7 linked regions of the Oryctolagus cuniculus genome follow. The main gene of each other region encodes a partner of the protein of the gene in region 5 in a complex. Links are inferred from orthologs where the notes say so. Each region holds a gene or a part of one and is shown on either strand. Other genes may lie near its edges.

What was found.
Region 1: the proteins of NUP93 (region 5) and NUP35 are in contact, whole or in part, in a crystal structure (PDB 7MW1), measured with the Homo sapiens proteins. The link is inferred for Oryctolagus cuniculus from reciprocal best matches to the Homo sapiens genes NUP93 and NUP35. Residues at the interface, in NP_055484.3 of Homo sapiens: Tyr266, Tyr269, Asn402, Ala407, Asp408, Lys409, Thr410, Glu411, Tyr413, Tyr448, His452, Phe453, Val455, Asn456, Leu461; in NP_612142.2 of Homo sapiens: Ala88, Pro89, Pro90, Val91, Arg92, Ser93, Ile94, Tyr95.
Region 2: NUP93 (region 5) and NUP214 share a complex: the UniProt entries of both Homo sapiens proteins name them as parts of the nuclear pore complex. The link is inferred for Oryctolagus cuniculus from reciprocal best matches to the Homo sapiens genes NUP93 and NUP214.
Region 3: NUP93 (region 5) and CETN2 share a complex: the UniProt entries of both Homo sapiens proteins name them as parts of the nuclear pore complex. The link is inferred for Oryctolagus cuniculus from reciprocal best matches to the Homo sapiens genes NUP93 and CETN2.
Region 4: NUP93 (region 5) and NUP58 share a complex: the UniProt entries of both Homo sapiens proteins name them as parts of the p62 complex. The link is inferred for Oryctolagus cuniculus from reciprocal best matches to the Homo sapiens genes NUP93 and NUP58.
Region 6: NUP93 (region 5) and NUP98 share a complex: the UniProt entries of both Homo sapiens proteins name them as parts of the nuclear pore complex. The link is inferred for Oryctolagus cuniculus from reciprocal best matches to the Homo sapiens genes NUP93 and NUP98.
Region 7: NUP93 (region 5) and CETN3 share a complex: the UniProt entries of both Homo sapiens proteins name them as parts of the nuclear pore complex. The link is inferred for Oryctolagus cuniculus from reciprocal best matches to the Homo sapiens genes NUP93 and CETN3.

Annotation. Positions count from the first base shown.
Region 1 is NC_091434.1:57,515,249-57,518,969, forward strand, and holds part of NUP35 (nucleoporin NUP35), read right to left. Parts: intron 1,931-3,721; coding exon 1,803-1,930; intron 1-1,802. UniProt on the Homo sapiens protein: Functions as a component of the nuclear pore complex (NPC).
Region 2 is NC_091432.1:233,660,625-233,665,047, reverse strand, and holds the start of NUP214 (nuclear pore complex protein Nup214), read right to left. Parts: upstream 2,806-4,423; 5' UTR 2,718-2,805; coding exon 2,673-2,717; intron 1-2,672. UniProt on the Homo sapiens protein: Part of the nuclear pore complex. Has a critical role in nucleocytoplasmic transport.
Region 3 is NC_091453.1:131,267,352-131,271,748, forward strand, and holds the start of CETN2 (centrin-2), read right to left. Parts: upstream 2,847-4,397; 5' UTR 2,632-2,846; coding exon 2,626-2,631; exon of another isoform or gene 2,269-2,625; intron 2,174-2,268; coding exon 2,015-2,173; intron 1,705-2,014; coding exon 1,576-1,704; intron 916-1,575; coding exon 778-915; intron 338-777; coding exon 248-337; 3' UTR 1-247. UniProt on the Homo sapiens protein: Plays a fundamental role in microtubule organizing center structure and function. Required for centriole duplication and correct spindle formation. Has a role in regulating cytokinesis and genome stability via cooperation with CALM1 and CCP110.
Region 4 is NC_091440.1:95,323,555-95,327,893, reverse strand, and holds the start of NUP58 (nucleoporin p58/p45), read right to left. Parts: upstream 2,866-4,339; 5' UTR 2,623-2,865; coding exon 2,516-2,622; intron 1-2,515. UniProt on the Homo sapiens protein: Component of the nuclear pore complex, a complex required for the trafficking across the nuclear membrane.
Region 5 is NC_091449.1:40,509,489-40,513,209, reverse strand, and holds part of NUP93 (nuclear pore complex protein Nup93), read right to left. Parts: intron 3,059-3,721; coding exon 2,932-3,058; intron 2,816-2,931; coding exon 2,743-2,815; intron 2,478-2,742; coding exon 2,433-2,477; intron 912-2,432; coding exon 795-911; intron 64-794; coding exon 1-63. UniProt on the Homo sapiens protein: Plays a role in the nuclear pore complex (NPC) assembly and/or maintenance. May anchor nucleoporins, but not NUP153 and TPR, to the NPC. During renal development, regulates podocyte migration and proliferation through SMAD4 signaling.
Region 6 is NC_091432.1:63,101,547-63,105,944, reverse strand, and holds the start of NUP98 (nuclear pore complex protein Nup98-Nup96), read right to left. Parts: upstream 2,880-4,398; 5' UTR 2,723-2,879; intron 2,574-2,722; exon of another isoform or gene 2,356-2,573; intron 1-2,355. Other genes in the region: PGAP2 (post-GPI attachment to proteins factor 2), read left to right, coding at 3,221-3,317. UniProt on the Homo sapiens protein: Plays a role in the nuclear pore complex (NPC) assembly and/or maintenance. NUP98 and NUP96 are involved in the bidirectional transport across the NPC. May anchor NUP153 and TPR to the NPC.
Region 7 is NC_091445.1:13,137,447-13,141,769, forward strand, and holds the start of CETN3 (centrin-3), read right to left. Parts: upstream 3,003-4,323; 5' UTR 2,860-3,002; coding exon 2,843-2,859; intron 312-2,842; coding exon 176-311; intron 1-175. UniProt on the Homo sapiens protein: Plays a fundamental role in microtubule-organizing center structure and function. As a component of the TREX-2 complex, involved in the export of mRNAs to the cytoplasm through the nuclear pores.

The sequences.
Region 1 (3,721 bases), on a different chromosome or scaffold from region 5:
ATTTGAAAGACAGAGACAGAGACAGAGAATCGATCTTCCATCTGCTGGTTCACTCCCCAAATGGCCACAACAGCTGGCCAAGACTGGGCCAGGCCAAAGCCAGGAGCCTGGAACTCCATCTGTGTCTCCCATGTGGGTCACAGGAGCCCAAATCCTTAGGTCATCTTCCACTGCTTTCCCAGGAATATCAGCAGGGAGTTGGATCAGAAGTGGAACAGACAGGACTTGAACTGGTGTCTAAACGGGACATCAGCACTGCAGGCGGCATCCTAACCCACTCTGCCACAAAGGTGGCCTAGACTAAGCAGTTAGGGTGACAAGCTGAGATGCCCCCATATGGCAGTGCCTGGGTTCCAAACACACCTCTGGATCCTGAATCCAATTTCCTTCTAATGCAAACCCTGGGAAGCAGCAGGCGATGGCTCAATTAACTGAGTCCCTGCAACCACATGGGAGACCTGGACTGAATTCTCCGCTCGTGACTTCAGAAGTCGTGGGCATCCGGACACTGATCCAGTAGAGGAGAACCAGCACATGTGCACTCACTCTCTTTCACTGCCTCTCAAATAAAAAGTGTCTATGTCTGAAGCCTGGCTCTGCTATAAACTGACTACCCCACCCTTGACAAATTAAACTTCCCCTTGCTCTAGTTTCATCAGTGATAAAATGAAGGTCGTGTAAGTTAACTCACAAGATTCATTCTGAGGACTAAATGAAATAATACATTAGAAGTTATAAGCTCAGGGCCTGCACATAGCAAGTATTTCCTGAGTATTAGATATGTTCTTATTGCTGTCAGCGTCATCAAAACAGATACTCTCTACCTGGAATATAATCCATAATGGAAAAAAACACTATCAGACCACCTACACAAAATAAAACTTAATACCATCATCAGAACACCTACACCAGTTAACACACTCAGCTCATAAAAATGTAGGAGGCAGCTCTTTTCGGTTAAAAGATAAAATGTAAACAGTGAATACAGCTCTAAAAGGATACTGATCTTAACAAAACCACTAGTAAAACAGTTTTCAATCATTACCAAGTGTTCTATATCAAGATAAAATCTAGAATCTTCATTTGTTCTTTCACAAAACTATGTATAAAATATTTGGTGACTTAAACAATTAGAATAATAAACATAATCATATTCCACATGTATATTAAGCAGGTTGAGCACAGGCAGGTATAAAGACATACAGGTGGGGCCGGCGCTGTGGCTTAGCAGGTTAACGCCCTGGCCTGAAGCACTGGCATCCCATATGGGCACCAGTTTGAGTCCTGGCTGCTCCACTTCCCATCCAGCTCTCTGCTATGGCCTGGGCAAGCAGTAGATGACCCAACTCCTTGGGCCCCTGCACCCGCATGGGAGACCCAGAGGAAGCCCCTGGCTTCGGATCAGCGCAGCTCCAGCCGTTGTGGCCAATTGGGGAACGAACCAGCGGATGGAAAACCTCTTCCCCTCTCTCTGCCTCTCCTCTCTCTTCTCTGTGTAACTCTTTCAAATATATAAAGAAATATTTTTAAAGAGACATACAGGTAAAAAGATAAAGCATACCTATAAAAGAAATCACAGAATTACCTATATGGAATACAACGTAGAGTCCTATTATATTTCTAAGCACATTTCATAACAAACGCAATGTAAGCAGATTCTATGATAAATGCACTTAATGCTTATTCTGTGTAACACTATTACACTAAAATAAATCTCAAGAAATTTTTAAATTACTAATCCTAACTGTTTAAGCCACAAAGAAACTTAAAATTAAAGTGAACTATAAGGACATGTCTATCACCTGTCTTCTTGAAGTTAAAGGTGTTGATCCAAGTCCTGGGCTGGAAATGTCATCATATATACTTCTAACTGGTGGAGCTCCACTTTTATCTTTATGAGCAGGCACAACTGGTTGTGGTGGTGACCCACCTACAATGTACAAAAATACAGTCAGGTAATAAAGTAAAGGAATCTTCCATCTCCTGCTAAGATTCTTAATTATATAGTTCTGGAATACTAACTTAAACTGTCTCCTAGTGCTTTTCAAACTTGAATAAACATAAGAGTCACCTGGGGATCTTTTTAAAATTTGTACTAATTCACAAGGTATGAGGTGGAGCCCAAGATTATACAGGTCTAACTAGTCCCCAAATGATGCCAATACAGCTGATGTATTTACCATACTTCGTATAAAAGGCTTCAGAACAAGTACTTAATATAAATTGTAGCTTTTAGAAAACACATGCAATTCTTACCTTTTCTACTTAACATTTCAATACAAAATTTGACCCCATTTCTCAGAGTAACTATCTACCATATAGATATATAGTTCTAATCTATCTATACCTAAGCATATAATCCCCTAATGTAAAAACTGTCAATAGACCCCATTCATGTTTCTCACAGGAGAAATATATTTAAGTACATAATAAAGATACAGAAAATGGACTTTTGGCCAGAGCCGCGGCTCAAAAGGCTAATCCTCCACCTGTGGCACCGGCACACAGGGTTCTAGTCCCGGTCGGGGTGCCAGATTCTATCCCAGTTGCCCCTCTTCCAGGACAGCTCTCTGCTGTGGCCCGGGAAGACAGTGGAGGATGGCCCAAGTGCTTGGGCCCTGCACCCCATGGGAGACCAGGAGAAGCACCTGGCTCCTGCCTTTGGATCAGCGCGGTGCGCCGGCCGCAATGCGCCAGCCACAGCGGCCATTGGAGAGTGAACCAATGGCAAAGGAAGACCTTTCTCTCTGTCTCTCTCACTGTCCACTCTGCCTGTCAAAAAAAATAAAAAAGAAAATGGACTTTCATCACATAAAGATATTTTTTAAGTCAGAGAACCTGCAATGCAAACAGTGATGCAGCCCAGGGCCTCAGTAAGAATAGTGTCTAAGCCTGGAGAGTAAATCCTAAGTTATGTAGAATACACACTATGGAACAAGACCACCTGGACCTTAAAGTCCTACTCTGACACTAACAAATGAGTTCTAGCTAATTATTTAACCTCAGTATCCTCTTTTGAAAAATGGAAATCCCAACTACTAAAGTTGATTTAAAAAAAAAAAGACATAAATAAAATTATTAGCACACTACATGACTCAAAGGCATTTAATATATGGTGGCTACAATAATACATTTGAAATTTTTTTTTAAGATTTATTTATGTATTTGAAAGACAGAGTTACAGAGAGGCAGAGGCAGAGAGAAGTCTTCCCACTGCTGGCTCGCTCCCCAAATGGCCTCAAAGGCCAGAGCAGGTCCATCCAAAGCCAGGAGCCAGGAAAGAGCTTCTTCCGGGTCTCCCACACGGGTGCAGGGGCCATCCTCTACGACTTTCCCAGGCCATAGGAGAGCTAGATCAGAAGTGGGGCAGCCAGGACTCAAACCAGCACCCATACAGGATGCCGGCACTGCAGGCAGCGGCTTTACCCACTACGCCACAGCACTGGCCCCTGAAATTTTAAAAATCTGTCCAAAAATGGTGTTCTTAAATGAATAACTACAAATATAATTTACAGTAATTCTCTTTGATCAATTCAAAAAGATAATAAGCCAAGTCCAATGTTGTGCCTTAGTGGATAAAGCTGCCACTCCCAATGCTGACACACAGTGCCAGTTCACGGCCCAGCTGCACCACTTCCGATCCAACTCCCTGCTAGTGCACCTGGGAAAGCAGTGGATGATGGCCCCTGCCATCCACATGGGAGACCAAGATGGAGTCCAG
Region 2 (4,423 bases), on a different chromosome or scaffold from region 5:
ACTCTAAACCTATCTTCAGGTCAGAGTTTAGAGAAAAGAATGAGGGCCACCCGGAAGCAGTTGCGGAGGTCAGCCCTTCTCTTCCTCTTTCCCTGAGAGCAGCGGCAGGGGTGGGGCTTGTGCAGTCACGGCCGAGATCAAGGCTCGGGACCTTCGAGGCAAGAAGGCGACACTGCTGAAACAGCGGAGGACCCGCAGGTCACCAAAGTGACAGGTGCGCGGCGTCCAAGCTCTCCAAAGCCATCCCCGTGTTCTCACCGTCATGAACCACACCCAGAAGAACCTCAGGAAATTCCACAAGGGCAAGTAGGAGCCCCTGGACCTGCGACCCCTGGACACGCGCCGTGCACCGCCAGCTCAGCAAGTATGAGGAGAATCTGAGACCAAGAAGCGGCAGGGGAGCAGCTGTCCCCACTGCAGAAGCGCACGGCCAGGTGTCATTAAACACACAAAACGGGGGAAAAAAAAATGCGAATCCACTCTGCGCTGGTGTTCCCAAAAATATGAAAGCCAAAGAGTTTTCCTGGGCTTCGTTCTTCTACATTAGATTCTTTTTTTTAAGATTTGTTTATTTGTTTGTTTTAAAGTCAGAGTTAGAGAGAAGGCGTGACAGAAAAAGCGAGGTCTTCCATCTGCTGGTTCACTCCCCAGACGGCTACAACAGCCAGGGCTGGGCCAGGCCTAAGCCAGGAGCCAGGAGCTTCTTCCAGTCTCCCAGGTGGGTGCAGGGGCCCAAGGACTTGGGCCATCTTCCTGTTTTTCCCAGGCCATAGCAGGGAGCTGGATAGGAAATGGAGCAGCCGGGACATGAACTGGCGCCCATATGGGATGCTGGCTTCACATGCAGTGGCTTTACTGCTGTGCCACAGCGCCAGCCCCACACTAGATTCCTAGTGTTGTTTCATACAGGATTCTTAACACAGCCCACAGACTAAGTTTGATGTTTATACATATTTGCTAGAAGGCAAATATGAGGACTTCACAAAGTTCATGGAAAAAAGAACTAAAAGATTTTAGTCCAAAAGAAATTTCAAAATCCATGCAGTTTTTTCATAACTGTTTTTCATGAAATTTCTGGAGACCCTCATACTTTTAATCCCAACTGATTTACAGTAGCAAAAATTCAGTTTTCCAGGTAAGCCTGTATTATGGTTTCATACAGGAGAGTAAGTTTTTCAGTCTTTTTTGTAATTCTTATCTTTGTTTTTTTTTTTCTTTCATTTATTCAAAAGGCAGTTAGACAGGATAGACACTGAGAGACAGAGAGAGGTCTTCCATCCACTGGTTCACTCTCCAGATGGCCGCAACAGTCAAGGCTGGGCCAGGCTGAAGCCAGGAGCCAGGAGCTTCTTCCAGATCTCCCACAGGGGAGGGAGGGGCCCAAGGCCTTGGGCCACCCTCCGAGACTTTCCAAGCACATTAACAGGGAGCTGGATGGGAGCTGGAGCAGCCGGGACTTGAACCAGCGCCCATGTGGGATGCCGGCACTGCAGGCGGCTGCTTCACCCGCTGTGCCGCAGCGCCGGCCCAGTAATTCTCAACTGGATCATCTCCAGTACCTCTTTGGGTCTCGGTGACATGTGCGTAGTGGGTCAGGATCAGGAGCACAGGAGAGTTCAAAACGAGAACCAACTCAGGGAAAACGAAATCATATCCATCATTGTACTGCAGCAGGCTCAATTTCAGTGCAGCAAAAACAAACAGAACCCCGAGATGCAGAACCGTCCCAGCTGTGGTGCTACGATGTTCATTAGTGTGAGCGAAATAAGAAAACAGTCGGGGCCAAACCTGGGGTAAAGCAGCCGCCTGCAGCGCCGGCATCCCGTACGGGCGCCGGTTCAAGTCCCCGCTGCTCCACTTCCCACCCAGCTCTCTGCTGTGGCCTGGGAAAGCAGTGGAGGATGCCCACGTCCTTGGGCCCCTGCACCCACGTGGGAGACCTGGAGGAAGCTCCTGGCTCCGGATCGGCGCAGCTCCGGCCACTGCGGCCATGTGGGGAGTGAACCGGCGGATGGAAGACTCTCTCTCCCCTAAGTGCATTCCAGGGACTTGCTGTTCACAGGGCTAAAAGCTTCCTGCTACTTGCTCCCCCTCGGCTGTCTGAAATACCCGTAGCTCGCGCTCTGTATCCTCGTTCTGTCAGGACGCACGTGGAAACTGCGGGGTGCGCCACGCTGAGAGCTGTTCCTGGGGGGCTCCCATCGCTCGGACCACTCGGCCCGCCCCTCAGTGCCCAGACTTCAGGCTGGTTTCAGTCCTCCGAGCGCACTCCCTAGGACGATGTCCCCCGGCTCTACGGCAGGCAGGCCCTGGCCACCTGACCCCGCGCTACCCTGGGCCTTCGGGAACATCACTCCCCCAGCCTCGACCTGCTCCTGTACCCTAACTACTGGAGATTACCACGGTGCCCGGCACACAGCAAGCGCTCAATAAAGTCACCGCCACAGAAGCAGCTGCACAAGACCGACACGGCACGGCGGAACCGCGCCCGGAGGGGCCATCAGGCCGACCGCACAGCAGAGCGCTCGTGGGCGCGCCGAGAACTCGGAACGCGGTCAGCTGCTCACGCAGGAGGCGGGGTAGCCGGCATCCGAGCCTCGCCGTTCTGGGCTAGGGCCGCGGAGGCAACGCCGGGACTAAGGCAAGGAGGGCGGCCCCGGCCAGTTTCTGACCTTCATCTCCCGCTCGGGAATCATGGCATCCATCTCGTCTCCCATCGTGACGCCCTCAGCTTGTCTACAAAGCTGCAGCTGCCGCCCGCGGCCTTCCCCACAGAGCCCAGGCGGCTCCGAAGCCAATTTCCTTCCCTCCGCGCCAGCGGCGCGCAGCAGATGACGCACTTCCGGCGCGCTTTGCTGCCGTCTCACGTCCCGGTTCGCGATGCGGTCGAGGAAGGCCGCGGGATCGCCTGAAGTCGCGCGCTCGCCCGGACGCCGCCCCTCATTGGTCGACTCAAAAGGGGGTGGGGCATGAGGATCCGCGCGCCTGCGCTCTGGGTGCGCCCGGCGTTCGCGGTTTGCGCGGGCTTCTTGGTGGTAGCGTCTGGTTAGCGGGGCGTCTGAGCGCCATGCGCTTTTGTTCCCGTGAGGTCTCGGAGGAACTTTTACATGTGGGTGGCTAGTAGTAGCTTCCTTGCGTTTTCAAGGGGGCGGGGCAGTAGGCGCAGAAAGTGGGTGTGGGGCGGCCCTGCCCCTCGAGACCCTAGGGCGGAGAGGGAGGTTAGAGGTCACCCAAGGGTAACGGGTGCTAGAGCCGGAGCCGTTCTCTTCGCCACTTTGGGTCACTAAGGAATGTGCGCCGCCTTTGCGCAAAACGCTGGGTGCGCTCCCCTTTTAAATAAATTAGCTGAGACGCAGAGTAGCAGCGCGAGACATCTCCCCTCGGCTGGGTCACGCTCCAGGTGGCCACAACCCCTGGCCAAGGCCGGGAGCAGGAACCTGACTCCATCCGCGTCCCGCTCGTGGGTGCGGGGGCCCAAGCGTTCGGGCCACCTTCCGCCGCTGGCCGGGCGCATTAGCGGGGAGCTGCGTCCGGGACTCCGAGCCGGACCCTGGGTGCGGGATGCTGGCCTTAACCCGCCCTGGCCGCCAGTCCCCCAGGGGTATTGTCGTCACTTGATGGATGACGAGAGAGAAGCACAGAGTTACCAGTGTCATCACAGAGTGGCGGAGGCAGGATGAGAATTCGGGTTGTTGGGGCCTGGGCTGCGGCATAGCCGGTAAAGCCACCGCCTGCGGCGCTGGTTCGAGTCCCGGCTGTTCCACTTCCGATCCAGCTTCCTGTTAATGTGCTTGGAAGAGCAGTGGAAGACAAAGTGCTTGTGCCCCTGAACCCACGGGGAGGACCAGAGGAGGCTCCTGGCTTCTGATCGGCGTAGCTCAAGCCGTTGTGGACAATTGGGGAGTGAACCATCGGATAGAAGACCTCTCTCTCTGCCTCTCCTCTCTCTGTGTAACTCAGATAAATAAGTAAATATTTAAAAAAGAAAAAAAGAATTCGGGTTGTGTCTGGATGCGCTGGCAACGCAGCCCAGTCGTCCCCGGAACCATTTGTTGTGGAATTGTCCGTAGGTGGGACCCAGGCAGGGCCTGTCCGGCCACTTGGTGTCCAGTAAATTGCTCGTCTGCTCCCAGCCTGCTTCTCTTTGGGGGGGGGGGGGCCTGTGAGGTGTAACGGGAGCTCCGCCTGGCACACGGGCACGCCGTCGGCACTCACGCGCACAAGCGTGTCTGGATTGGCAAAGTACAGAAACCACCCCCCAAACACACGAGTCGAGACTTCGGTACGTTTGTCTGGTTTATTTCCAATCTAGATGACAGCCCACCCCCTGCACTCGCACACACACACACACACACACACACACACCCTCATTCATCTGAATTTGCCCGACAAACTTTTAAGTTGCAGGGACAAAGCCCCCACG
Region 3 (4,397 bases), on a different chromosome or scaffold from region 5:
TTTTCTCCGCTCCAATGTGCTCTTATTCTGCTTTGGAGAACTCAAGTAATCAGCAGGTCATTTTACAAAGAGATTGAGTATCAAAGAACACTTTAAAAGTCTGAAATAGATTAGAGGCCATAACTAAAATTATGTAGGGAGGTCAGTGCAGGAGAAAATAGTTTGTGTTCTCAAAAGCCAGATTTTACACAATGGCAGGCACTAAATCTAGTTAGGTGTGCTTGCAGTAGAAAAGACGACATGGATCTTAGTAAAGGCTGGTCTTTTTCATGATGCGCAGGAACTCTTGCTCATTGACTTCTCCATCTCCATCTCGATCAGCTTCATCAATCATTTCCTGCATGACAGTAAAGATTCAGAGAACATTAATTCATAAAATAAACAAAAAGGTGACTACATCATAGGCTTTAACATTGCTATTTGAATAGACAATTGTAGTCTACTCGATACATTATAATAACTTGGCTCTTGAAGAGTCATTGGAAAACCAAGTCATATTTTGTCATACATGTCACCTGGAAGGAAGTTCGAAGGACTTGACCAGAAGGACTCCCAAAACCTAAAACAGTAAATAAAACTGTACACACATGCATTTTTCTGGAAGCAGGGTCATAGGATTGTCAGACTATCAAAGGAAAGTTACGTTGTTAGCAAAGGGGCCAAAGAACAGTATCTTTCATTCAAAGAGGTTTTCCCACCAGGGAAAAATCAAAAGCAGAGAAGTCTCAGAGGGCTCAACGGTGGGAATTCACCGTTCCAGCCTCACACATGACAAACCTGTAGCTCCTCATCTGTCAGGTTCTCGCCCAACTCCTTGGCCACGCGTTTCAGATTTTTGAATGATATCTTTCCAGTTTCATCATCATCGAAGAGCTTGAAAGCTTTCAGAATTTCTTCTTTGGTATCTTTCTCAGACTTAACAAGTAGAACATAAAATGCATTATCAGGAAAACACCATGGTTACCCGTGTTCCATAGCCCCACCACTGCCCATTCCCCCCCCCCCCATTTACAACAATACAAGCCAAGAAGACAAAGAACAGAATTAGAGGCAGCTGCTGAGACACCTAGTGAACCTGACACTGCACATTGGCATGCTAAGCCCTGGTATTTTGCTGTGTTCTCCTGTTCAGAGTTTGCTCTAGTTCAAATGCCAAGGAGGGACTTCCAGGGGAATCAACTTCTTAGATTCATTCCCTAACCCTCCACCTTGCATTTAAAAATGAATGGTGTCTACAGTTTTTCTATTTGGGTTTATCACAGATATATCAGTTGGAAAAACAGTGAAAAATGACACTTTTGCTACTTTACAAAGGGTGAAATGACTTCATTAGTTTGTGACCTTGAAGAAAGCCAAAGAGAATTTAGGCTAATTCTCAGTCAAAAATACTATCTTTTATCAGATGAATTCTCCAATCTTTGTCAATTTTTCTCCAATTAGGTCATTTTCACATCTAGACTAGATAGATAGACTTTATCACTATTTTAAAATTATTTTTGCATTTACTCTAGATAGATAGACATTATCTATCACTATGAGTAAAAAACATGCTAATGGTTATCTCAGCTAACTTACCATTTTCTGAGTCATCACAGTCAAAAAGTCACTAAAGTTCATTTTTCCAGTGCCTTCCTTATCAATTTCACTTATCATTTTCTTGATTTCTTCTTTCTTGGGTTCAAACCCCAGGGCTCTCATTGCCACCTGTAAGGAAACAGGAATGTCTCAATATGCATATCTGAATCTAGCAGGAGCAAATATAAGTGTTGAGAATATTAAGCCAACATCTACCATAATAATGGTAAAATGACTACAGAATAAACATTGATGTAACTGACCTTTGTTGTCAATTTTATTTAGTAACACTTGGCATAATAAAAGACAGGAAAAGAGAGCACAAAAATCCCAGCCCTGTTAGTTTTTACAGGAAGGAGAGGGCAAAAGGGGTAGAGTTGTGACAGAGAAAGGGTAAGGAAGAAGCAGAGGTAGTATAGCAAGAACGTGCAGGGCTTACCTTAAGTTCTTTAACATCTATGGTCCCAGTTCCATCAGCATCAAAGAGATCAAAAGCTTCCCTGATTTCTTGTTTCTGCTCTTCAGTAAGCTCAGGCTTAGGACTCATCCTTTTCCGCTGGGAACTAGATGTTATGTTTCCCTTCTTAAAGTTAGAGGCCTGTAGAAATTATACGAACACATGAGCACACTATTATGTAATACAGTCCATAGTTACAGACACTGCTATCTCTTTTAAAACTAATTTATACCAACCAATTCCCAATTTCTGCTCAACAAGAGATAATGGGGTTTATTGGAAAGAATGAAACTTCCCGTGAAGCGCTCTCCCTCCCTTTTCTTTAGTAGTATTTGTTAGAAGCAAAGAGATCCCTTGTTCTTCGGATACATCACTCCGAGGCAGTTAGCTAAGGAAGTGACTGTAGATAACTCGAAGTGAGTACTGCCCTCCCTGAACGCGGGGATCCTGGCTCCAAAAACAACCCCTCGCGGTACTAGGCTTCCCAAGAGGTACTCTGACTTTCCGATTACTTCTGGATTTGGCCAAAGATTATTAAGTTGTTTAGATAAGTGTTCTGTCCATATCAAATAGTAAAACAATCTATTTGGCACCTTCATGCCCTCCCCAAGATGCTCAAAGCATCTCCGGAATGCCCATATTTAAATTGTAAAATACAAGTTAACAATCAGAACATAACAAAGCTCCTCCCAGGTGGGGGAAGTTTGGCAGAGAGAGGAGGCCAAGATCTGAAAGGGCCAGGATCTGAGAGGGGTTGGGCCCTCTTCTTTGCCTAGGAAGTCCCCGAGGCGGGTAGAGAAAGCCAGGGGGACCCGAGGGACGGGTAAGGGCCCGCTGTGCATGACGGGGAGGCTAGGGCGAAGCGCAGGCCCAGCGGGGTGGCTGGCGTGTCTACCCTTCCGGGAAAGAGCTCAAAGGAAGGATCAGTGCACTAAAGGTGAGCAAGAGAGTCAGTGTGGTGTGGCGGGGCCGCAGCCCTGAGAAGGACTCAGTCCCTGGGTGCAAGGCCGGACTGGGGAGCCAGCACTCACCATAGCCGACGCACTCCGCTGCCCGTTGTTACGGCAACCTACGTACACACCGACTCGGCGCCATTCCCACCGCCCCGCGCGCGCGGCCCAGCTCCCTGTTGGCTGCCGGCTCACCTCCAGCGCTCCCCATTGGTCTACGTCTGGAGTGGGTAGGGCTAACCTCACAAAGCCCGGGCCCAGGCGGGGGGCGGTGCGCTGGGAGGGTGAGACCTGCTCTCATTGGACAACATCACGCTGAGAGCTCCGACTGGCTGAGCCGACTCTAGGCCCGGCCAATCCGCTAGGTAGAAGGAGCTCGGCTGATTCTCAGCTCACACAGGCGGGGAAAAAAGGGTGGCCTTCCTAGGCTGGAGCTCGGTCCTTGTCGGCGGCGGGCTAGCTGAGATCAACCGGGGGACATTTACGGACCGAAGGGTAAGAGTCGCCACGTAGGCTTCGGAAGCCGCTTTGTATCGGCGACAGGGCAGGGCGGGCGAGCGAAGGACTAGGCGGGGCGGTCTGAGTGGCAGTGGTTTTCTGGTCTGGCCTAAGACTGAGTTAGGAACAAGGGCATCAGGAAGATCCCAGGACCTTCGTGTGGGAGCTGGGACTGTACTTACTCACAGGATAGCTGAGACCCTGACAGGGGAAGGGGCGTGCTGAGTGTCGTCGCAGAGGGTTTGACATCTGGCACGTAGACTGGTTGTTTGAGAGAATACAGCAGGTTCCAGGAGCAGCCCGGTACAGTGAGTCGGAGACCTTGACAATGGGTGTTGAACGACGTGAAGGAGGTTCCTCCTCATGCTTGTCTCAAAATACACTCTTTTTGACACAGACTCTCAAGGCAGTCAGGGAGGAGAACTCCAGGCCGAGACACCCTTGTGAGCAAAGTCACGGGAATTGTGGAAGAAGATCTCCAGGGGAGCATGAGTAATGGTAAGGGCTGACTTGAAACTGCAAAAGGACTGGAGTCTGCCCTCCTTAGACAGCTCCACGGGTCTCAGCTGCACCTACTCATGCGGCATTGAGGCGGTTATCTGGGGAGGCAGAGGACAGAGCAGAGGTTTCTCTGGCTTCAAAAGGCCTGAGGCATCCTAGCACATCTTAAGAGGAGTGTCTACTCTTTGCCCTCTTCCTCTTTACAGCAGTGAACTGGGTTCAAAACTTTGTGTTCATGTTTAACTTTCCCTGCCCTCTCCCCTGTATCTAGTCTCTTAAGTTCTATCAGTTCTGCCCATTAAATGCCATTTCTTTTCTCTTTTCCACCTGTATTCCTTTCTCAATTCTAGCATTCATCATCCACCTCCCAGCCAGTATGAGCCAGAGTTCCCACCATGGTCTGCTAACCTTGGTTC
Region 4 (4,339 bases), on a different chromosome or scaffold from region 5:
TGGGCCTGGGAGCTAACACACAAAAGCAGTGAGCAAGTGGCAGACATGATGCTAAATACCTTGCTTGCTTCATTTCTTCTCATTCAACAACTCTGAGATGAATGTTAGCATAGCCCTCTTCCAGACGTGGGATCTGAAGCTTGGGAAGCAACACTCTCACACTGATGTACCTTGAGAGACCAAGTCCCCAGGAGGCACGAGGCCATCAGGCCTTCCAGCAGCACTTTAATAAGCAGCTGTTAGACTGTCTCCTTTCATTAATTTATACAAGCCTTTCGACAGCTTGAGTACATTTTTGAGTCTGTTGCTAATAACTCAGTCATTGAACCAGTATTTATGAAAGCCCCTTTTCTATGCCAGGCACTGTCCAAAGGACTGAGGATGGAGTGTAAATCAAGGCCCAGATCCTGCCCTCAGGAGGTTTCGTCAGGAGGAGGTACAGATGCTAAGTGCTCATTTATTCAAGCTCCAGTCACTGTGTTTACTGGAAAAACACTATGAAAAGGTCTCTAGCATCAAGGAACTTATGCTTTAGAACTGGGATCAGACACCAAACAAGAAAACAACAAACATAATGAACTGATTACAACTGTGATGAGTGCTCTAGGGGCGGAGTATAGCAAGTCACAAGCAGCATTTTCTTAAAGGAAATGGAACAGAACAGAAAATATCAACATCAAGCAAGGGTTTAGTTTCTTTCTCTGAAACTTTGTTTCAAGTATTTATTCTTGGGCACCTACTGGCTGGTAATGTCAATGTTACCTTTTTGTTGTTGTTGTTGTTTGACAGGCAGAGTGGACAGTAAGAGAGAGACAGAGAGAAAGGTCTTCCTTTGCCGTTGGTTCACCCTCCAATGGCCGCTGCGGCCAGCGTGCTACGGCTGGCGCATCGCGATGATCCGAAGGCAGGAGCCAGGTACTTATCCTGGTCTCCCATGCGGGTGCAGGGCCCAAGCACTTGGGCCATCCTCCACTGCACTCCCTGGCCACAGCAGAGAGCTGGCCTGAAAGAGGGGCAACCGGGACAGAATCCGGCGCCCCGACGGGGACTAGAACCTGGTGTGCCGGCGCCGCAAGGCGGAGGATTAGCCTAGTGAGCAGCGGCGCCGGCTGTCAATGTTACCTTTAACAGTGGAAATGACAAGACCCAAGATGAGCTGGAGAAGTTCTAGAATATAGTGGGCCTGGGGAACCACTGGGAAAATGTTTTCATTTGTTACTTCTTTTTAAGCCAGTGGGAAATGATCGAAATGTGAAGCAATGGACGTTTTTACAACATCTACCAATGTGTTAGAAAGATTACTGTAACAGCGGGTTCTGAGACGGCAGTTAGTCCCCTGAACTGATCTACGCACGGCTTTACGGGAGCAGTTTTCGTCCCTCACAAGACGGCAGGTTGTAAGCTTAACAAGAATCACTATTTTCCCAGGAATGTGTCAGGAGGGCAGGTCTCTCATTTATCCCACCTTCAAAAACAGAGCCTAACAAGCAGGAATTTAACCTACATAAATTACAACAGCTTGAAGCCAGGTGTGGTGGCACGGAAACGGACACGGGTGGCACATGCAGAGGATGATCAGGGCTTGCGGATTAAGTGTGAAGAGCGAAACAGATTTCGGCCGGGACTGTGCAGTCCGCCCTTCCTCTCCCCTCCCCTTTTAAAACACAAGCATTGCAGACGATATATGTGCCTTTTTAATCTACAGTGACCTCCTACAAGCCTCAGGAGCCATCTTGCCCATGGGATGCACCCTTCTCGATTTTCTGAGCTCCTCTTGTCAAAAGACAAGAGTCGTAAAGATTAAGTCTCTCGTAATGATCTCTCACCAGTCTGTTTCTGGACCTCCGCTAGTTACTTCTGTCACCACTTGAACTAGCAGGATGCGCAAAACGGATGAACAGGCTATCTCTACATTTGGTAATTTAGGTAGCAATGTGATTCCTCACAACACAACATTCGGACCTAGGACACACGAACGTGCCCATTCGGCAGGAAGTTACCACAATACACGCTGTTCAAGCTGTTTGTTTAAAACAAAACAAACCAGACAGACAGGCTCCCATGTGGCACGAAGGTCTGAGAGCTCCGTAAAAATAACTAAGAGATCTGCAACACACGGTCATGTTCAAAACCGTAAAACACAATGGAATCCGAATTATCAGGGGGAAAAAAAGCTATTATTTGTCCTTCAGATTTTCTACTAGCTGTTGGTCTGTAAAACCCCACAATATGCAACCATTTCATTCATTCGCTCAACATTCTTCCCACACCTAAGACTGACACCGCTGAAGCTCGGGAATGAGACTCCACGCAGTAGGAACAATGACCCAAACGCGGAGTCTGGGGTCCTCCCCACCACAGCCGCCAGCACGGCCCGGGCGCGTGGGGGAGCGGGAGGCCTCCGGCTCAGCAAATGCTCGTCTCCAGGCCTACCCGAGAGAGAGAGAGAGGGTAGGGGCACCAGGGAGCCTTGCGGACGAGGGCCGGGTCCGGGCAGGCGAGAAAGCGCGGTTACCTAGACGCCCCGGTGCCGAAGGTGAAACCGCCGCCGGTGCTGGTCCCGCCGGCCGCTACGGTGGTGGAGCCCAGCGTCCCCGACCCGAAGGAGAACCCTGTGGACATGGCTGCCGGGGCTGGAAGCTGTCAGCAAGCTCGAGATGGGCGTTTTTCTCAGTCTCAAAGCCAGGGCGGGCCAGGCAGCATCGTTTTTGCCCAGCCCTGACCTGGCGGGAACTTCAAGCCCAGCCACTGCGAGACCGAGGCCGAGGGGGGTGGGGCAGGCACGCCAGAGCACGCCGGACGCTCGCCGCGCGCTCGTAGCCGCCGGAAGCGAGCGCGCCGCGGGCAGGGAACCCTGGGACGGGAGCGGGTTGGACGCGCCGCGCGAGGCACCCTGGGATGCGGTGGGGTGGGGGCACCGCCGGCTCTCTTAAAGGGGTAGGCGCCTAGAGTTAAAAAAAAAAAAATCACACCACACGTTACAAAACCATTTCTCTCTCTTTTTTAGTTCTGTCTTTGTATTCGTGCTGACGAAATCTATACTTTATGGCTGATGACTCTCAGTTCTACTGCTTCTAGCCTGCCTCCTGCCAAACATGGCGCAGAATCCCAGGATTAGGGCATCTTGCGGGTCCGGCTTCGGGGCGCGGCTGCCACAGCCCCGAGAAAGAAGCGGAGCTGGTCAGCTTCCTGACGGCTGGGAACTCAGTCGCTAACAGTTCCTTCCTTGGTCCCACGACGTGGGCCGTTCTCTGCGCTCCGGTACTTGCGGAGGCCGCCGCGCCGTCCGGGGAGCGACTCCTGAGGAGCGTCCGGCGCGCGAGCCGGGGCGCTCGGCGGTGGCTACGGCGTCCCCGGGGGCCGAGTCCGGCGGGCCCCCGATCGCCTAGCTTGTGGCTGAGTGAAGAAACAGGACCCAAGGCGAAGGAGTGCGGGACGCGGGGTCCCCCTCGGCTGCTGCGTCGCGGCAGTGCGCGGCGCCCACACCCGGTGCTGGAGCCCGGGAACTGCCAAGTGGAAGGGAATTTTTATTTCCGGTATGACACTCAGTACTCTGTGCGGTGAAATGAAATGTGAGGGTTCCATGAGCTGCATTAGAACACCGCACAGTTAGAAGAGATCCCATTTGGCGGAAGCATCAGGAAGGGCGTTCTGCCTTGGATGCCTTGCGAGGCTACCGTCATAATGTGGGTCTGCATTTTTTTTTATGTCGGAGATGAGTGAGGGAGTCTCTCGATTGCTTTCCCTGCCTATGGTCTCTTTCAGGAAAATCCATCCTGTGAGCAACGCCAGGGTGTGTTCTCCTAAAACGTAATTCCCGCCAGGGCAGTGCCTTGACCAAAACCCCATAGCTCCAAAGACGACCTCAACAGGAGCGATCTTGATAATGGCACATCGGGTGCTCCCCTAGGTTCAACAGTGGTTGCTGCTGAGCTTGTAGGTTGCCAGGGGCTAAGGACTCAATTATAACCCTCCCCACATGCATATGTTGAAGTCCTACCTGCCCCCCCAACCATGGGGCCCTGGAGGATAATTAAACTTAGATGAGTTTGAGGCTATCCAGTGGGGCTGGGGGTGTGAGGGCCCCTCAGACGCAGGTAGAATGTCCTTCACCAGCAGGCTGCCAAGCTGTGGCTAAAACGCTTGTTTCCAGACCAGCCGGCATCTCCCCCATGAATAGCTTCATGTGCTGCATGTGTGACCTTGTGGTTTTAAGTCACATTTTCAGGGTGGTTGCCATCTTTCACCCAAAACTGGAAGAGGAAGAGGCTGAGCCCCTGGGGAGAGCCAGACTGTCTCCAGGAGACCCCTGCTGTCTCCGTGAGCCCCAAGCCAATCA
Region 5 (3,721 bases):
ACTGATCTGGGGGACGACAGGGCTCAGCAGTTTGTTCATCAGCTCCAGCACCTTATCAGCGTTCTGTTCACGTTTTAAGATCAAAGAGATAACCAATGAAGGGAAAAACTACATAATCAAAACAAAACAGACAATTTTCGGAGGCAATGGAGGAAAATGTTCTACATCTGGGAGCTGGTTACATAGACAACATACCTATGCAAAACCCACTGAGCTGTACACCCTGAACACTGGCATATTTTTCTCTTAGTTATACCTCAGTCAAAATGTTTATATAAATTAAAAAATCATGATTGATAACCCTCTTTTTGCCTCCTCTTAGGTGAATGGGGTGAATGCGATCACATAATCGTGAGCAGCCATCGTGTGTTCTGAGGTGCTCACGTCACTCCCAGCCGCCCGAGAAGGCCCAGCTGAAGCACTACTCCCCAGCACGCTCTAGTCAGCAGAGTGTCTCGGAACTGCCCACAAGTCAGGCGCGATGGCATTTTTACTGCAGCTTCACCATCGGAATGTGAGGGATGCTTATTCAGAGGCTGAGTGAGACAACAATTCAATGCCTGCAGGACAACCTCTCAGTATGCTGCTTTTATTTGGCCAGAAATGCCTTATGGGCAAAAATAATTCTGTAAAATGGGAATTTCACCCTGGATCATTAAGTGCCTAACTGCTGGGAGAAAATGCCTCAACAGGGAGATTGCTACAGCAATGGCATTGCTGAAATATTTGTGTATTGAATGGCAAAAGGCCAACAGATCAATCAAGTGCAGAAGAAGGAAAAGGGCACATTTTACCTTGGCAAGGTCATAAAGCTTTGCTGCTTCTTCAAACAGTCCTTTATTTTCTGCCACGGAAGCAACTTTGTTGATAATAGGCTTTGTGTCACTAGTGAACTTATCTATGACTCCAGGCTGACAAGACAAATTACGGAGGGGGAGGAAGAGAGAGAAATGGATGCACAGAGCTATTATTTTAAGCACTGAGAAGTAACTGCGAGCCAAAAAATACTTTAACTGAAAACGCTTGCCCTGAGCAGTGCATGTTCATCAGTTAGACCTGGCTTTCCTGAGGATACAAGGTCCTCTTGGAACTACAAAAGGGACCAATGAAACCACACACAAAGAGCAGACTCGCTGGACACAGAGGAGTCAGAAATCTGACACCCATGCTTTCTAATTTTCAAAAACGACCCAGTAGATGAAATTATCAGTGATGTTAGGTTTGCCGAGGAGCAGGAACCAGAGAGAAAAACCCAGAGGCCTGGAGAAAATATCTGCAAGACTCAGGATTTGCTCTCTACAACAGACAGCAAAAGAACTCAGGGGAAAAACAAAATGCATGGCAATGGTATCAGGACATCCAAAAAAAACCCACAAAAATCCACTCCCTTACCACTCAACAGCAACCAAATGGTCAGAAGAGAAGGGAGGCCCTAGGAACCATGGGAGAGCAGAGGTGGACTGAGTGACATCCCTGACTCTCCATCAGTGCTGGACCAAGTCAGGCTGACCTGTCCTGGCCATTCTGGAGGCAGCTGGGAGATCAGGGAGGAGCAGAGGCTCTTGGGGCTGAAGGACGGGGTTCCGACTCCAGTCCCCTTCTTACTACCTGTGTGATCTGAGAGTAACCTCCCTGTCTCCATCTCTTCAAGTGGAAAACACAGATAATTACAGTTTCCTCCCTACTGGGTTATTGTGGCAATTAAATAAGGAGCTACATGCAAAGTCTTCAGCTCGGTGCCCGGCTACTGTCACCACCCAAGAAGCATGGGAGATGGCCCCTCTTCTGAGCCACACAGTAGGAGCAGTACTTCTTCTGGAGACCACTGGGCCAGCCACTCGTTTTTACAAATGAGAAGAGTGAGCAGCCAAGGGGGCAAGGGTTTCTCAAGGCCACAGGGAGAGTTGGGGTCAGTACTGGCTGCTGACAAGAGGATCTCTTCGCCTTCTCCTGTGACACCCAGTAAGCATCACAAGGCTCAGGAACTGGCTGAGGCTCCCTTACGGAGCCACATTCCCAGGGTCGGTATTGAGTTCTGGGCACTCAGAAATGGCCTTCCCAGGGAGACCAAGACCATTTCTGACTTCTCCATCTGGGCAGAGTAGGCATAATAATCAATTTCTTCTTCTTTTTTTTTCAAATCTTCTGACCCAAAGAATGGCAGAAATGTAACCTTCTCAGCCTGCAAAATGGCAGGCATGAACCAATGAGTAATCTGAACATAAAAAACTATGGAATTGCAGATTTATGTACATGTGTATAAAATCAAAGTCATCAAGTAGGTCTACAACTTTCATTCTCCATTTGTTTCTTAAATTACATAACTTCATTCAGCTTTGGAGCTTCAGTTTCCTGGCTCCTAAAACCCAACCCAACTATACTCTCTGCCCTGCCTGCAATGCGAGCTATCCCTCCTCTAACATCTGACTCACCTTCCGACTGCCATCATTCTCCAGTTTCCCAAGGATCATATCAAACTGGGGAGGGAAAACAAAGTTTATTCAATTTATTGGGTAAGGATATAAACATAACCAAGAATTCTCCAGAGACTACAGGGGAAGAAAACAGAGGGATGGGAGAAGCCTTACGTTAACTAAGAAACATGAGACTGAAATCAGTATTTTCATTGTTAGACACCAAGGAAACCTTCATAACCACCCCCACTCAGGCGGAACCACACTGAGGTAAATGAGCCTGCATTCCCATGAGACAGGCATGGGGAACCAGGGGCAGCTGACCTACCTCTCGGCTTTCTATCACCAGCTCGCTCACACAGCGCAGAAACATGTTTTCTCCTTGACTATCTTTCTCGTCCCTGTACAGGGATAACAGCAACTCAGTCTCGGGTATGGACTGGCGGTCTCTACCAGTCTTTCTCAGAATGGCAGAAATCAACACTGGCTGAAGTAAGTGGTCAAAAGCAAACTTCACCTGAGGAAGTAAAAGTACTGGAGGGCTTCCCTTGGGTCCGTGGACTCAAACTTCCGGGTGTAGAGCATAAGTAGCCGCACAAAGTTCAATCGCCGCATGCAGGGAGGGTCCCCAGGCTCATGGCTGACTGCGTCGTGGGGGAAAGAACGTGTCACAACCACACTGTCCCTCTGACCCATGCAACCCAACAATCATGGAAGCTAAATCCGTAGACCCAGCAGCATCTACTCCTGCAGCCTAGACAACGCTTGCCAGTGCCAGCTTTGCTCAATTCTCTCTACCACCCTGTCCTCAATTTCTCACCAAGGATGCAGCACAGGAAACAGACCTTTGTAGTAAATTTCCGGTCCACTGGTCTTAAAATGAAAAAAATAGTACAATTGACCAATATAGCATGTACTCCGAGAGGATTTCACTGTGCTAAGAAGGAATCCGAATGCATCCATTCATTGCTCTCTCACCACACGGCGGAATGTACAGAAGATGGCTGGCTGGGGTTGCTGGTGTCATAAGGCCAGAGCCCTAACGGGATCCAGAAGCGCCACTCTAAGGACTGCTTCTCCTGCATCACCCTCCGGACACGACGCTAGCACTTCGAGAGCACACCAGGGAGAATGACCGGGGTGGCAGGAGGTGGGGTAACACAAGAAACACAACACTAATCCTCCAGAAAGCTCAACTATTTGCAATGCTCAGAAATTACTGGTAGTGTCTGCCCAAATCCTATTGGTTACAGTTCTACGGCCACTGCCCCTGATGGGCGATGTTCTGTGATAACACCACCGCTAAC
Region 6 (4,398 bases), on a different chromosome or scaffold from region 5:
TGTAATTACACCAATACAAATTACAAGCTCTTGTGTCCCTTGTACAGAAATACAGATACATATTGATTTGCATAATAGCCTACCCTCTTTCAAACAAGACCCTGATTTCTCCCATTTAAGAGAAAGGGACGCTACCACAGAACTGAAATGAGGAACTACAGAAAGTGACTCTAGGACTCTTAGCTCTTCAGCTTCCCAATTACAGAACTTGACAACTGAAGGGTTTTTCATAGATAATTATTCCAACAAAATGCAATTTATTAACTGACTATAAAGATAAGATAGAGGTATGTATGATTTTACTAATACTAAGAATGTTTTCACTAGAGCAGTAGTCTCAAACAAGGACAACTGACAATTTCTTGAGACATTCTCAATTGTAACTTGAGAAGAGGTGTTAGGGGTATCTAATGATGGGACAGGAATGCTAAAATGCTAAAAATCCTACAAGACTAAAGAGAGTTCACCACAATAAATATCTGGCCCAAAGTGTCAACAGTGCCAAAGAAACCCTGCTCAGTAGATGTTTTCATACCTTGCCTCTGAATGTTCAATCTAAATCTCTTATTTCTCTAACCTTTCAACAAATTGCACAATTACAGTTGTCTCTTTACTGGAAATTAAACATCAGTCCTACTTCTACTTCCTATATTAACCGCCTCCATATAAATATTACAATAATATGACCAATTGTTCCCAAGCTCTGAATTTGGTTCCTTAAAAATCTTATTTGCGTTTAGTTATCCAGGAACTGTGGACATAAACAAAGTCAAATACCAAAGTACCACATAACACATAAACGGATTGGGACCCCTTATCTGGTCCCCAAATTTTAGAAGCCCACAAATACCCAGCCTCTTTGCTGACTATCTGTAGTTTTAGCTCTTCCATATTTGTTTATTCTTGAATGCAAATGAGGGCCCACTATGTGCAAAACAACCTGAGTACAAAATAAAAAAACATTTTACCATGGTCTACTAGAAACACAAACAGCTAAAATACAAAATGGTATGTGCTATAAATAGAAGCATCAAATAAGTGTTAGGGAAGCTTAGAAGAGAGAATGCCAGGAAAGGCTTCCCAGAAGAGGGTGATGCTTTAACTGAGAAATGTCACAGAAAACATATACTGTTCACATTTTAATATTTAGACTACAGTTCCCTTCCTCTCTTAAGCACTACTAGTTTTCAGTTTTTGCTTTGTCATCTAAACAACAGCAAGGTGCCACTCTAACAGATGTCAACAGACCACCGTGGCAACTAATTCAATTTCATCAAATCTTAAGTGAGTCAAAATAATTCTGTCGAAGCATTTCCTAGTGCATTCATCCTGTTCTACCTCTGATTTGGCTTTTAAAATAGCTTAATTTCCTTCACCAAGCAAATATACTGTCTGCCACCCAGTTAACTAGTGTTTCCTTCGCAATTTCTAAGACTCTTAACAGAGAATGCTCACTGCTTGTTTCTTTTGTTCTTCCAATTCATTCCATTCTCCAAAAAAAGAGTTTAATTTCCTTGCCTTACCCTACCACAAAACCTCACTTTGAATTCTGCACCTGAGCCAAACCATGAGTTCCAAGGTACAACTACAAAGTGATTGTGTAGCTTTTTAAGTCTTGTGATGGTTCCTACAACAGTACTGTTGTAGTAACCGTATGCTGAATCCTCAGCCACACAGTGACAAAAATTCAGATTTCTAATAGGAAACTGGACAACGATCCCCAGTGCCCCAGTGGTATAGATTCCTTTCCAGTACATACATCATTGCCATTTTCAAACCCACTTTTTAGTAATGGCGGTCTAGGTTAAGAGATACTAATGAAGCTTCTACCTGGCCATGGACAGAGCTGGTAGCAACTAAAGCCGTCAGGCTATTGAAGGTAAGTCTACTTCTAACTACTGAATGCCTCTGCTCCCCTCCCCCAAGAGAATCCTTAATAATGGGAGAGTGGGACACGCATCCAGGGAGGGTGGGGTAACAGACACATTTCGAAACTGAGTCGAGAGATCTGGCATTCGCTAATGCTGTCTCCGCCTCTGGGCTTCAGTTTCCCCATCTATAAAACCTGGATGTGATGCAGGCTATGGGGGTTGATCTGAATAATCTCTAAGGTCCTTAAGATTACAGTTAGCCAGAAATCCAATTTTTTTAAATCTGGCTGGATACGCAACACGTGGGAAAAAGACACGACCCTTTCACTACACAGCACCGACCCTAATTCTTGTATATTGTCTTTAGAAGCCTAGAAACTTCAGACTCACCCACCCTAACTCTCGGGCTGCCCATTTCTCCTACGGGGAAACCAAGGCAAATAAAGCCCACCCCGCACGACAGTCGAGGAAGTGAGTCAGACACCTTATCCTGGCTCTCTCCGCTCTGCCCCAGCAAAGGCCGGCCCCCGAGGGCTCCTAATCACCGTCAAGCGAATGAATGAGTACGAACAGATAGATGGAAGCTCCCCAAGCGTGGGCTGCAACTGGAGACCCCCGGGCCTACACCCCTCCGAAGTCGATTCCCTCCGAGGACACGAAGAGCCGGTCCTCCGGCCCGCAGCGAAACGGGCCCCGCCCCCTGCCGCCGGTCAGAAGGTGCGCGCCCGGGCGCGAGACTTCGGCGCCGCGGGCCTGGGACGCCCCGCGCACCCGCCCGCCCAGAGGGGAGGAGGAGCCTGCCCGGTCCCTCGCCGCCGCCGCCGCCGCCGCCGCCGCCGGCCCCGACTTACCGCGCTGCGGGGGGGAGGGGAAGTGTCCGGAGTGAGGGCCCAGGCCCGTCCGCCGCCCGCCGCTCACAGAGCAGCGCGAGGCTGCCAAGAAACCGTCGCCACCGCCGCCGCCGCCGCTCCCGACCGCCGCTTCAGGCGCAGCGCGCAGAGGGCCCGACTGCGTCACACGCCGCCCGCCGTCAGAGGCTCAGTCCGGGCGCTCCGCCCTCGCCGCCTGCGCATTGGCAGATCCAGCCGCCACTCTAGGTTCGCCCTGTTAGTCATTGGGCGCTGAGTCTTTTGAAACCGAACGTGAGGGCGGTCTTCGGGAGGGGGGGGAAGAGGAGGGTCAAATGGAGTTGGGGAGAGAAAGGGGAGGGCCTGTGGGAGGTACGTGGAGTCCCGCCCCTCACAGCCGCGGTTGGCTGGGAGAGAGTCTTGACGTCACACAGGGCTCCTCGAAGGGGGCTAGTGAGTGGCCAGACTGGTGTGCACTGGGCGGGATGTGGGAGAAGAGTGATGACGCTACTTGGAGACTCCGCCCCCTTCCTTCGAGCGGAGAGACTCGGGCTGCGGGCGCAGGGGCCAATCAGAGGGAAGGCCCCAGGATGGCATGGTAACTATTCTACCCTTTTCTTGCCCCAGTCCGCGGGCGGTGATGGGAAGGCTTCCTCCTCGCCCTGCTCACACTTCCTGGACAGACCACGTGCGGAGCTGGCCGCTCTTCCTGGGAGGTGCATCTGTCCGCAAAGCTATTCTGTGGCTAAGAGGCCCTAAATCCCTACCTCCTTGTCTCTTAACCCATGCCCGCACCAGCACACACCCTTTCCTTTTATCCCTAGGATAGACATTATGAACATTAGAGATCCTGTAAGGGAATGGCCAACCTTAGATTCCGGTACAACTAAGGATTCTTAGAACTTCTGTCCCATTTGAACGTTGAGAACCCGTACTTACTCTTAAAGGCCTGGTTCAAATGTCCCCGCATTTGCTGACTTTTCCCAGCAAGCTGCCTAATGCTTGGTTAGGTCTCTGTTACAACCTTGTCACTTTGTATCCTGTTATTTATTCATTTTCTGGTTTTCTTTGCTGGGGGCTTTTGGAGGTCAGAGAGCTGCGTTTTCATCCTCTTGCTCTTTTCCTGCCAGGGCCTAGCCCAGAGAAACCTGGTATTACAAGAAGCAGAGGTGGGCTTGTTCTAGAAACTAGACCTCTGGTGGCTGAGGCTCTCACACAGAGTTACAGCAGCAGTGTTTAGAAAGTGGAGTATGCAGAACATGTCTCCACCACCACCCCTCCTGGACCATGAAAACAAGGGAGCCTTGTCTAACGCTTAGATGAGTTTTCAGTGGTAGCGAGGAATGAGAGATAACTGACCTGTTGTAAAGTGGAGTAGTAGTAAGGACTGGTGTTGGCCTAGCAGTTAAGATACCACTTGGTTTCTGAGTTCAGTACCAAAGTGCCTCTGGGTTCATTCCCGCTCCTGACTCCAGTTCCCTGCCAGTGCAGATTCTGGGAGGCAGTGCTGATGGCTCAAATAGTTTAGTTCCTGTCCTCCACATGGGATAGCTCCTTTGAGTTTCCTTACTCTTGGCTTCCACTTCAGCTCAGCCCTGGCCTGTGCAGGCATTTATGAATTGAATCAGATAGGAGCTCTCTCTGTCTGCCTTTCAAAGAAAACAATATTTAAGTGGAAT
Region 7 (4,323 bases), on a different chromosome or scaffold from region 5:
GGCCGCAGCGGCCATTGGGGGGTGAACCAAAGGAAAAGGAAGACCTTTCTCTCTGTCTCTGTCTCTCACTGTCCACTCTGCCTGTCAAAAAAATAAAATAAATAAAATAAATGTATTTTAAAGCTGTCAAAAATGCAAATCACTTTAACAGATAAATATATACTTTATACTTTACCTTTAGTTCATGATAATCTATTGCATCATCTTTGTCTGTATCAAAAAGTTCAAAGGCATCTTTAATTTCTTGTTTCTGTTCCTCAGAGAGCTCTCTTCTTTTTTTTCTCTTTGTTTTGTCTACTACAAGCTCACTTCTATAAAATGGAAACAAAAAAGTCATTAGTCCACTCTAATCGTATTCTCTTATGCAAACTAAACAATCAACAACTTTCTAAATTTCCAAAAAGGAAATATGTTGAAGAAAGATAAAGTATTTTTTCTGTATGAGTTGACATCCTGCTTGTTCCATAGTCCACAGTTCTATGAATGTACACTTCCCAGTATGAAGCCGAAACTCTGACAGAAATGGGGAACAAGGGCCACTGTCACAATGCAATGGATTAAGCCACCACCTGCCACACTGGCATCGCACATGAGTGCCAGTTCAGGTCCCAGCTGCTTCACTTCCAATCAGCTCTCTGCTAATGCACCTGGGAAGGCAGACAACTATGGCATGGCTCAAGTGGTTGGTTCAATCACCCAAATGGGAGACCTGAATGGAGTTCTTGGCTACTAGCTTCAGCCTGGCCCAGCCTCAGCCATAGCGGCCATTCAGAGATGGAAGATTTCTCTGACTTTGTCTCTGTCACTCTTTCATATACGTTTCAAAAAAAGGGGGGGGGGGGGGAACCAAACCTTCCCTCCTCCCAACTCAGAAACAAGAATGGTCAGAGGAGGCTGGCACTATGGCGCAGTAGGTTAATCCTCCACCTGTGGTGCGAACATCCCTTATGGGCACTGGTTCTAGTCCCAGCTGCTCCTCTTCCAATCCAGCTCTCTGCTGTGGCCTGGGAAAGCAGTAAAAGATGGCCCAAGTCCTTGGGCCCCTGTACCCACATGGGAGACCAGGAAGAAGCACCAGACTCCTGGCTTCAGATCAGCACAGCTCCAGCCGTTGCGGCCACTGGGGAGTGAACCAACAGACGGAAGATCTTTGTCTCTCCTTCTCACTGTCTATAATTCTACCTCTCAAATAAATAAATAAAAAACCTTAAAAAAAAAGAATGGTCAGAAATATTACTTTCAGACCAAAAACCTCAATCAAAACCAAATCAACACTTATATCATTCTGCAAAAGTGGAAAAAAATCCAAATCAAAGTAGAATTCATAATTGACAATCAACATAAATATTTATTATACTTCAGTATATTTCTTGTAATTAAGTTTTCAAGATTACTACAAAAAAGTGCCAAATAATTTATCAATTAACCTATATTTTGGCATTGTAAGTTCAAAACTATTTTGGATCACATCTAGGTACTTTGTTTGTAGTTTCTTCCATCAATATTAACATGTCAGCCAACAAAGCAGTGAGTCTAAATATATCATGAATGTTAAAAGATCAAAAAGTGGTATGTAGCATTTGTGCTTACTTCCAAAAAATGTGAAAATTCTTGTCTCATTTAACTTATAAACTATAGGTCAAACTTCTCATAACTCTGGAAAAGAGTAAAGAAAATGAAAAGCAAAATTATTTGGAAGTTAGGAATGTCTTCCATCTGAGACAGATGTAGAAGTGCTTCAGAGTTTCAAATGAGAACACCAATTCTGTAAGAACACGTTTTAAAAATTCTAAATGTAAAACCAGTTGATTGTCTCATAACAGATCATCTTATTTGCATGTGAAAGCCATGGGGGGGGGCGGGCAGCATCGTGGCCCAGCAGGTAGGGCTGCCTCTCAGGTCCAAGGAACACAAACCCTGAGTCCCAGCTGCTCCCCGGGAAGGCAGCGGAAGATGGCCCCAAAGCTTGAGCCCCTGCCACCCAGGAGGGTGGCATGTTCAGGTGAACTGCCATGTTCAGGGCTCCTGGCTCCCCCCTGTGCCAACCCCAACCATGGACGCCCTTTGAGGACTGAACCAGCGGATCCAAGATCTCTTTCCCTGTCTCTTTCTGTCACTCACTCTGCCTTTCAAATAAATAAATCTTTAAAAAAAAAAAAAAAACAAACAAACAAAAAACTTATTTTGGTTTCTGAAATCTTAAGGGGGAAAAAAAGGCAATAGGGATGGCTACCAAATGACAGCAGGTGCAGTACGTCAGAGCTGAGGAAGACCTTCCCCAAGAGACCCGAGTGGACACACACCTGGGCACAGCCGGGGTCAGCCATTCCCCTGCCCGGACTGCCCGCGGGCAAGTCCGGACCCCGCCCACACCTGACCGCAGCCAGGGCCACCCGTGGCGGAACACAGTCTCTGAGCACCTGCCTTCAAGGCTATCTGACACGGGGGGTGGGGTGGGGCACAGACCGAGGGCTAGGGTCGGGACAGAAGACACCGACTCCGGGCGGGTCTCCGATTCGGCGGGGCCGGGGGCACACGGGCGAGCGACTCCGTGGGCAGCGGTGCGGGGGCCAGGTGGGCGGGGTCGCAGCACCGCACGCCCGCGGCCCACCCCCCTAGGCCGAAAGCCCCGTGCGCGGCCACAGGCGACCACCTCGGCAGCGAGCGCCGGGCCGGTCACCTGCAGGGCTCTGCACTCCCGGGGGGCTGGGGGCTGGCAGGCCGGCGAGCCCCCTCCTCACCTCGGCCCCAACGGCCTCCCTTCCACACCCACACACGCACGCGAGCACGCCCGGGGCCCGCTCCGCGGCGTGGGGAGCGCGGCCGCCTCACGACTACCGACCTCAGAGCTAAACTCATTTTCCTCCCCGGACAGACACGTTCCTCTCAGAGACTTTATGCCCTGGCCCGAAGCAGCAGGACTCCCACAAGCCGTTCAACAGACGCGAACGGCCGCTGCCACCACCAGCCCCGCCCAGAAGACAGACACTTCTGAGCGGGATTGGTCGAAACCCGCTAAGGTTGTGCCCCGCTCGGCACTACGCCCTATTTTCATTGGATGGCTTTAGCGTCAGTCAAAGGAGCGTTTGTGCCCGCCTCTCCCGTGCCCTCCGGCCCCTTAGATTGGCCAGCTGCTTTTTCCCCGAATCCTTTGCGGGCCGGCGTGTGGACAGCTCCCAGGTAGGGAATGGCGGGGAGGAGACCGGTGCAGGTGCTCTCAGAGACGTGAGCTTAATTTTTGCGGCCAACCCAACCCTCAGCATCCTACGCAGGCTCACTTGCGACCGAGTTTATGCACGTCATTCATTGTGTCCCCAGTGGCTGGCTGCAGTTGATGTTCCTTTGGGTCCTAGATGTTAGCAAAACGTTTGGTGTCCTCTTAACGACACAGTTCGCTATCATTAAATAGAGTGTGTTTATGAAGAATTCAACATATAAATCTATTAAATAATCATAATGCTAGATAACCGAGATGATCTCAAGGACAAAATATCCCTTACTCATTCTAAGATACATATTAATAAAGCAGGTATGGACAGTGCTTTTTTTTTTTTTTTTTTTTTTTTTTTTACCATGCTGAATAACACACTTAGAATGGAACATTAGGGTTTCTCAACCTTGATCCCCGGAACACTAGAGTTTTGTGAGATGCTTATGGTCATTTCATAGAGAATGACACTGTGGACAAGTAATTTGGGAAAATGTGTTTTTACTTGTTAAGGTCAAATGTCGTCAGTGCCATACCCTGTTAAGGGAATGATAGGGAAGTCACACGCATCACTTCTCTTCACATTTAAGCCGTGGAAACTAGTGACATGGCCACTACTTGCTTGCTGTAAGGGAGGCTGAGAAGAGCTCTCTAGTTTGGATGCCATGTTCCCTGATAAAACATGAGGTCATACCATCTGTTACTAAACATAAAATGGGATTAGCAAGTCTGCCACAGAAACCATTAAAATGGTTATCAATATTATCCTTGAAATTCTCATGAATGATGCAATAAAACAAGGGGAAGAAGTGCCACATGAAATTAACATTGTGTATGAATTATATAACACCTGGAAAATCCAAGAATACCAAAGAAGCTATTGGAATTGATAAAAAGAATTCAGTAAGTAGCTGATCATCACATTTGAGAGAACAATGATTATAAGATATAATAATAGCAAAATGGATTTCACAGAAATAATTTGCACAGGAAATCTATAGAATCAGATATGGACTGCTTCTAAAAGTTGAGATGACCTCTGGCCAACAGCTAGAAAGGAAATGGGGCGGGGGGGCAGCACTGTGGTGAAGTGGGTTAAAGCCTTGGCCTGAAGC